Linked DNA regions of Saccharomyces cerevisiae S288C. The protein of the gene in region 1 interacts with the protein of each later gene in a biochemical or structural test. Each region holds a gene or a part of one and is shown on either strand. Other genes may lie near its edges. The genes, in order: SAS4 and SAS5.

Evidence for each region.
Region 2: the proteins of SAS4 (region 1) and SAS5 form a complex in vitro, tested with the Saccharomyces cerevisiae proteins (2 studies listed by BioGRID).

Annotation. Positions count from the first base shown.
Region 1 is NC_001136.10:825,547-829,479, reverse strand, and holds SAS4 (Sas4p), read left to right. Parts: upstream 1-2,124; coding exon 2,125-3,570; downstream 3,571-3,933. Other genes in the region: YDR182W-A (uncharacterized protein), read right to left, coding at 126-329; putative lipid phosphatase CDC1, read right to left, coding at 423-1,898; cohesin-loading factor complex subunit SCC2, read right to left, coding at 3,704-3,933.
Region 2 is NC_001147.6:743,702-747,281, forward strand, and holds SAS5 (Sas5p), read right to left. Parts: upstream 1,581-3,580; coding exon 834-1,580; downstream 1-833. Other genes in the region: STE4 (G protein subunit beta), read left to right, coding at 1-480; SPR2 (Spr2p), read right to left, coding at 1,892-2,602; AIM41 (Aim41p), read right to left, coding at 3,024-3,580. UniProt on the Saccharomyces cerevisiae protein: Component of the SAS complex, a multiprotein complex that acetylates 'Lys-16' of histone H4 and 'Lys-14' of histone H3. The SAS complex is however unable to acetylate nucleosomal histones.

The DNA.
Region 1 (3,933 bases):
CACTACTATGATCACTATATTGCTATGGAATAATAAAAAGCAAAAACGAAAGATTGAAAGGAAAGTCGTCCTTTTGTATCCATCTTTTAAACAAAGCTTACAAAGAAATTTGCCGTCATGACTTGCTAAATTTGATATAAAACTAAAGGAACCAACAACTTACCTAGGTGTTCTTTTTTGTCCCCGTATAGTGAAGTAATTGGTGTTACGCCCAGTCCTGCAGTTTTAGCTTGGACCACAAAACATAATGCAAATCCAGTAGAGGTTATGCAAACTGTTTGGTGAGCATAGTAATACCACACCCGGTATAATTTATATCTCTTGTTCATTGTCTGTATATAAGGTGTATTCGCATATATTAAATAGCCAGACGTTTCCCTTCAAAGCATTTTGATCCTGGAAGAGAATAGCAGTAATTCTGTCTAGACTACAGTATAAAAATAAATAAAAATGGGCATCACAGAAACAAAAAGGACAATTGCATTAACTAGAAATTGTTTGATCGAACGCGTATCATTCACAGCGTATTTACTATGTGTCAATGATTTTTTGGATTTCGATTTGGAAATACTTGTAGGTAATGGCAAATCTGAGGTGTTACCATCAGGTCGTGTAAATACTCTGTTCATTATGGTTGCTACGCGATTATTAAAAGATTTTGGGAAAAAATGCATGTATGCGATAAAGGCAGCAGAGAATAATAATCCCCATAGGTACATTCTGATTGCCTTATAGGGATCTGGCATATAGCATAGCTCTGTTTGGTAAGTTTTTGATGCATACTCTCCGCCGGCATTTACCATTGTCAAATCTGAAGGATTATATAAGGAGAGCAATTGAATAGCAGGCCTACTGATCCCCATGTTCATTGCACATGACTTTACTGTAATTTCTTGAGCATTTTTAGTTTTCCCCTGAAACGGATATGAGTGTGATATCTGACAATGGTCATGATCATCCCCGGAAAATAATATTTCTGGTTGAATTTTCGTTAAAATTTCTTGTGATATATCGTTTTCTATAACTGTCTGGTACTGGTGCCCTTTCTGAATAGGAAAAGGTTCTTTGGATTCACGTAGCTGACCGCACGTTTGCTGTTCTGGATCCCTCCATAATGGAACGTGAGTTAAAAGAATTCTAGGAAGCGGATGTGAACCCATTGCAAAATTATCCAAAAACTGTCTAGGAACCCTCGAGACATTCGGATTTGTTTTATCAGAAAGCGAAATTGTATCTAAAAGTACAAAGGTATGATTTCCAGCGTCTAATGAGGAGGAAGTTTCTCCAAAGTAACTAGAAAATCTCTGTAAACTCGATTCAACAACTGTGTCTCCAAAACCAATATCGTGATTACCTGGTAAAGACATGACCGTTCTTCTCAGTGGCTTCTTGGGGAATATTTGGTTGAATCGTGTGTACTCTTTAATCCATTGCTTATCATCCCAGTTTCTCCCTCCATCAAATAGATCACCTAGGAAAAAATTGCTATCAGGATCCAAGTAATACTGGACATATTTCCAATTTCTCCTGTGATAATGGTCAACAATCACTCTTGTAAAATAATTAACTATTTGAGGCCTCCCAGGATATGAATATTCGTCCATTATTTGTGGGTCTGCAAATAAACCCACCCTATGACTTTCAGCGCCTTCAGGCCAATCCTCCCAAGTCGACCATTGGCACTTCTTCATTGCTCTCTTCACAACCACTGATTCATAATAAGATATTAATCCTAACCATAAGATCCATACAATAGATATGTATCTCCAGTAGATTCTTAACCTCTTCTTGCTCCTGCTTTTTGATTTCTTTTTCGAACGTGATTTATAGTGGGCCTTATCGTCGCTCTTCTTGCTGTGTGTAGATAAAACGCTCTTTGACCTGTTACGATATACCATACTTCCTAGAGCTTATTGTCTAATGTATCCAACAGATTAGTAGAAGCGGTACTGTTTTCCCTTTCTTTTTGGTTATTGTTGTTTCCATAATCGTTCGTTCTACATTTTTAAAAATAAGAAAATCTAACCCGCGAGTTGATTTCAGCGATCTCAAAACAAAAAGTAGCAAGATTAAAAAGGAAAACCGAAAATTTCTACAGCATTAAAAGCATATGAGAGTTCATCAATGGGTATTTTTCAATCAATAGAAGAAGCAAATAATACTTCTGAGAGATTGCTGAGGTCTGAGATTAAAAATAGTCATGGAGAATTTGAAAAATTCGATTTTGATACAGAAGAATACGAAATTAACCCTAAAAGGAAGTTAAGATTAGTCAGCAGGATAAACCCAAATGCTGGACATCTAAGGAAATCTAAGTCCTGCTTTACTGTAGATGAGCATGTTGACGAAACGCGTTGTCAGAAACCTGTGATGAAGTCGCCGTTCATGAGTAATGTCGATGATGAGATCAAGAAAAAGAGAGAGACAATTACAAAGATGACACTAGAAATTGAACATCATGAATTGAGCCAGAATATTAGAAAACCAACTGATGATTTGCTTCCTGATAGCACGTATCAGCCTTACCACAAGAAAATGTTGAAGCAAGAAAATAGAATGATTCAATCGGACATCGTAAATGGTGAAAATGAAGCAGACAGGCTTTCATTAATTTCAGACAGACTGGGTATGTTGAATTGGGAAGTAACATTACAGAAGGTTACTAAAATAAATGACCCCACTGACGAGAATGAAATGGAGACTAAACGTTACCAAACTAAAGAGCTGATTGATTCAATGTTACATAAATTTGAATCTATGAAAAAAAAAAGCCGCAATTTAGCTAGAAGGCCAGCCTCAAGTGATTCATTGTTGAAATTGGTTAGTGGCAAAGATTGGCCCAAGATATATACTCGAATCGATCGAACTTTTATTCCAGATTACGCAAGCTCCTCTGACGAAGAAGAAGAAAAAATAACCGTTGAGGAAATAAGGGAGAGACGCCTAAAGAAGAGAGAGCAGCAATGCGGTGGTTCCATTATAGTACTGCTGAGCGATCATCAATCACAAAAGGGAATGACACGGTTTGCTATCGTAGCTGAGCCGCTCCGAAAACCGTATTTGATTAAAACCTCCACTAAAGAGAGAAATTCATGGAAAAACAAAGTTCCCACAAATCCAAAAAAATTCAAGAAAGCTCCTCGAATATCAACGCAAATTGCTGTGAAAAGAAGAAGGGAAGTCATCCCGTTAACGATGGAGGTGGAACCAGAAGTCATTCGGGATATAAGGCAAGATACACAAAAGTCTATGAAACTGAATGTTAAAGCGGAGGAAATATCTGTGACAGAGACTGTCAAATCAAAAGAAATGAATGCCTTAAGGAACAATGCTGCATCTATAAGTCCAACTCTTTCAGAGAAGGCACCTTTAGGTTCAATTTCATCTTGCACTGCATCTCAGATTTCACAAAGGTCTTCTGAGAATGTGGGTGCTATTATTAACAATATCAACCCAAACTTAGCAATAGTGCCCTCTTGTAACGAAAAGACCTTTGTAAAAACACACAATGGAATGAAAACTAACTCAGGTATTAATATTTTGCCTGTCCGCAAGAAAAAAAAGGTTTAGTTTGAACTAATATAATGCGATGGTGTAAATGAAATTCAATATTTCATAGTTGCTTCTCAAAACCTGCGTGAAAAATCAGCATGGAAAATGCAAAATGATTATTAATACTATGTATATTTTAAGTGCAATATATTTACGTATCCTTCACGTGTTTTCTAAAATATGTAAGAAGCTTGCCATTTGATGAATACTGTTCAATATTCTCCAACTGTGCGGAAAACTTACTGATATCCGGCTTCTTTGCAGGGAGTTGTTTGTTCTTCAATTCTGATTCTTCTACAATATCTAATAAAAGCACATCATCCCTTAACCCGTATAAGTGCAGTAGATAAGTACCCAAATCCTGTAAGCTTAACTGTATTA
Region 2 (3,580 bases), on another chromosome or scaffold:
AGCTTTTACGTTAACGATAGTGATATTAATGCACTTCGTTTTTTCAAAGACGGGATGTCGATTGTTGCAGGAAGTGACAATGGTGCGATAAATATGTATGATTTAAGGTCGGACTGTTCTATTGCTACTTTTTCTCTTTTTCGAGGTTATGAAGAACGTACCCCTACCCCTACTTATATGGCAGCTAACATGGAGTACAATACCGCGCAATCGCCACAAACTTTAAAATCAACAAGCTCAAGCTATCTAGACAACCAAGGCGTTGTTTCTTTAGATTTTAGTGCATCTGGAAGATTGATGTACTCATGCTATACAGACATTGGTTGTGTTGTGTGGGATGTATTAAAAGGAGAGATTGTTGGAAAATTAGAAGGTCATGGTGGCAGAGTCACTGGTGTGCGCTCGAGTCCAGATGGGTTAGCTGTATGTACAGGTTCATGGGACTCAACCATGAAAATATGGTCTCCAGGTTATCAATAGCTTCGAATTGGAAATACTGTGAGCAGTAATTATCAATGGATGCTATTATATAAATATACATACCTACACCCATCCCATATTTACATAGAATAACAACAGTAACATTAGTTCTGTGGAAGCGCAAAAACGTCCTTTAATAAAGTAAGTCAAAACATTCAACAATGAAAATTCAAAGCATTGTCATTTGCTTCCTTTTTCTCTTTGGATAAACGAAACAAAAACGAACAAAAGTGTCATGCACTCAAAAATTCTTTTCAATCGTTTTGGAAACAGTATTATTCACTGACTTATTTGACCAACTTGCTAGAATCATCTATGTTTTCAGGCATTGTTTAATTTCATGATGGCTGTCCCTACTTTAGCTTGTTATGAGCCTTCACTGGCTCGTCCTTATGTATTGCGTCTGACCCAAAATTTGTCCTTTCTTGTTTAGTGGAATTTTTGTTCGGTAATTTCAAAAATGCCTGAATTTTCATTAACAAATCATCTGGTAGTTGTGTTATAAACATAAAAAACTGCTCCCTTCTGGGATGATTTTCAATTGCTCTCTGTACTGCAGGATCATTCAATATCATCTGAACCACGTCCGTCATCATATCCTCATCTATAAGCGCAAGGCTTTTAATCCAGGGCAAATCGGCTATACGAAGAGACATTTCTTCCTCCGGAGACACTACTTTCCACGGGAGATCAAAATATTTAGATAGTTCACTATTGAGATGTGAGAATTCATGAGGCACATCAACGGTATAGTCAACTGCATATGCATCATCTTCAAACGTTAAGTCATGTTCAATGCTAAACTTTCCAGCGTTACCTATAAAAAAGCATTCTATTTTTAAGTTAAACTCTCCCCAACCGGTTTCCTTGATAAAAAATGGCAGCGAGTTCAGTCGTCTTTTGGGCTGTTTGAAGCTAGAGTGCAAATGGTAGATGCATTTAGAGAGGATGGTAGGCTCCACTTCCTTTCCTGTTGCATCTAACATGAGGAGTTCCATCTGCCACCGACGTAAGGGAAGTTCATTTCCCCGGATGTTTTGTTCCGGTATTATAACCTGTTGTGTTTTTACTCTGAAAGTGACTTCTATTGAATGATCCATAAAAGAGCGTCTATTATATGGCACCAAAAAAAAAAAAAAGGGCTTTTGGAGTCAAGAGTAAAAACAATTTAGTCTGTAGAAAAACTTGAGTTGCTGCACTTCCTCTTCACCCGAACATGGCTGTTCTAGTTTGTTGTCGTGCAACTCTCTAATGGTGATGACTTATTGATGTGGCTTTGATTTTTTCTTGCCCGTGTAACGCGACCGCGCCAGCTGTAAACGTCACTAAATAATACCATTAATTGGTCATTTGCTTATATGTTATATAAATGCTTTCTCTATCAAAACTTTGATTATATGACTGCCGAACTTTAAGGGTGAAGTAACAAGTACAGACCAAATAGAAAAGATAAGATTCCCATCGACGGCATTAAGGAGGATGATGAATTTTCGTATCCCCCAATAGTTGTAATATTTCCCGGGGTGATTGTTGGGAAAATCTCAACGCTGGTAACACCCGTGGATAAAGCTAAACTTGTCGTACTAGATAAATAAGAAATGGTGCTCGTTAATGTTGCAGTACTTGTCGGCATTTCACTATTATTGATGATGCTCATATTAGTTACTAAAATATCTTCATACGCGTAAATTTTCGGTTTCGGAATCTCTTCAAATACCTCGTCTGCCCCGACTTTCTTCTGTATGCTGTCTTCCATAATTTCATGTAGAATACTTTCAATTTGAGAAAACTTTTTGTGCTCCACTATTGTTAGAGGATCTTCCAACAGAAAATCTATAACAGATTTGGAAGCAAGGACCGTATCGGTATGTTCTTGAGAATCAACAGCTCGCGGCTCCTCCGGTAAATCTGCTAATACTAAGTATGGATTAAACTCCATTTGATTTAGCAGAGCTGGTGGTAATGAGTTTTTATCCAAATGGAAAACTAAAGGACCAGGTTCATTTTGTCCTGTTTCATCTTCTTCATACTCATCTGATGTAAAAGTAATTGAGTATTTGGTAGCAAACACTTGTGCCATAAAAAAGGCGAAGAAAAGGGAGGATAGATATAATCCTAACATTTCAATAAGGATCAAAAAAGAGAATGGGATACAAAACTTTACTTTCCTTCCTTTCGTGCTAGTTACTGGCTTGGTGTTGTTCTTTAGTTATGTGTAGCAATGTTAGCTGCTGGTTTTTTGTCTTGGATAACTACAAATACTTTCAGGAAAAGAATAATTTATACATTATACAAAAGCGGCCTCTTTTATAAACAAAGGGCAAATGACAGTTAGCAAGACATATCATGGTTGCCATGGGACACAAAAACGTAGCCACAAAAAAAAAAAAAAAGGTGAAAGGAAGCGAGCATTAATTTTTTATTTTAATATGTAACTGTGATATGTATTAACAAAGTATCTTTCATAATTTTTGACGAATATTTTTACTTCTTTTTTACTATTGAAGGTTGGGCTGTGATTCATCGCGCAGAAAACAAGGACCTCATTTGAAAATTTCCTTGAATTGCTTAACAATGCTATTTTTGATGGCAGTTGGAGATGTCTTCCATTCTGTTGGCAATGACTTCCAGTCGATTTCTCCCATGATTTCCTTAATTTGAACTTTTTTTTCACCTGCCTTTGTTTTGAGGGCGTCCAGTAATTTCTTCACATTTTGATCAATATCAAGCTCTGAAGACACTGGCAATTGGTCCATATATTTCTTTATAATGTCCATTTCACCTTGCTCTTTGGCCACCAGATCGTCCCTCTTGTTAGCAAGGAACTCATTGATCGAGTCCTTTCTTTGAGATATTAACTTGGAGTACATGTCGTACAGGGAGTACTCATCAGCGCTCTTCCCTTTTAAAGCAATTTCTTTGTTTTTTATGGCAGATAACATATTTCTGATTGCTGTCTTCTTCATCTCATCCTTGGCAATCATAGCCTTTTTCAAATCTCCTTTCAATAGGCTGACTGCAGCCGTGTAGGCTGGAGAACTGTTATAACGAATGAAGGTTAGTCTATTTGAAACAAGTGGCCTAATTGATTGTCTGAACA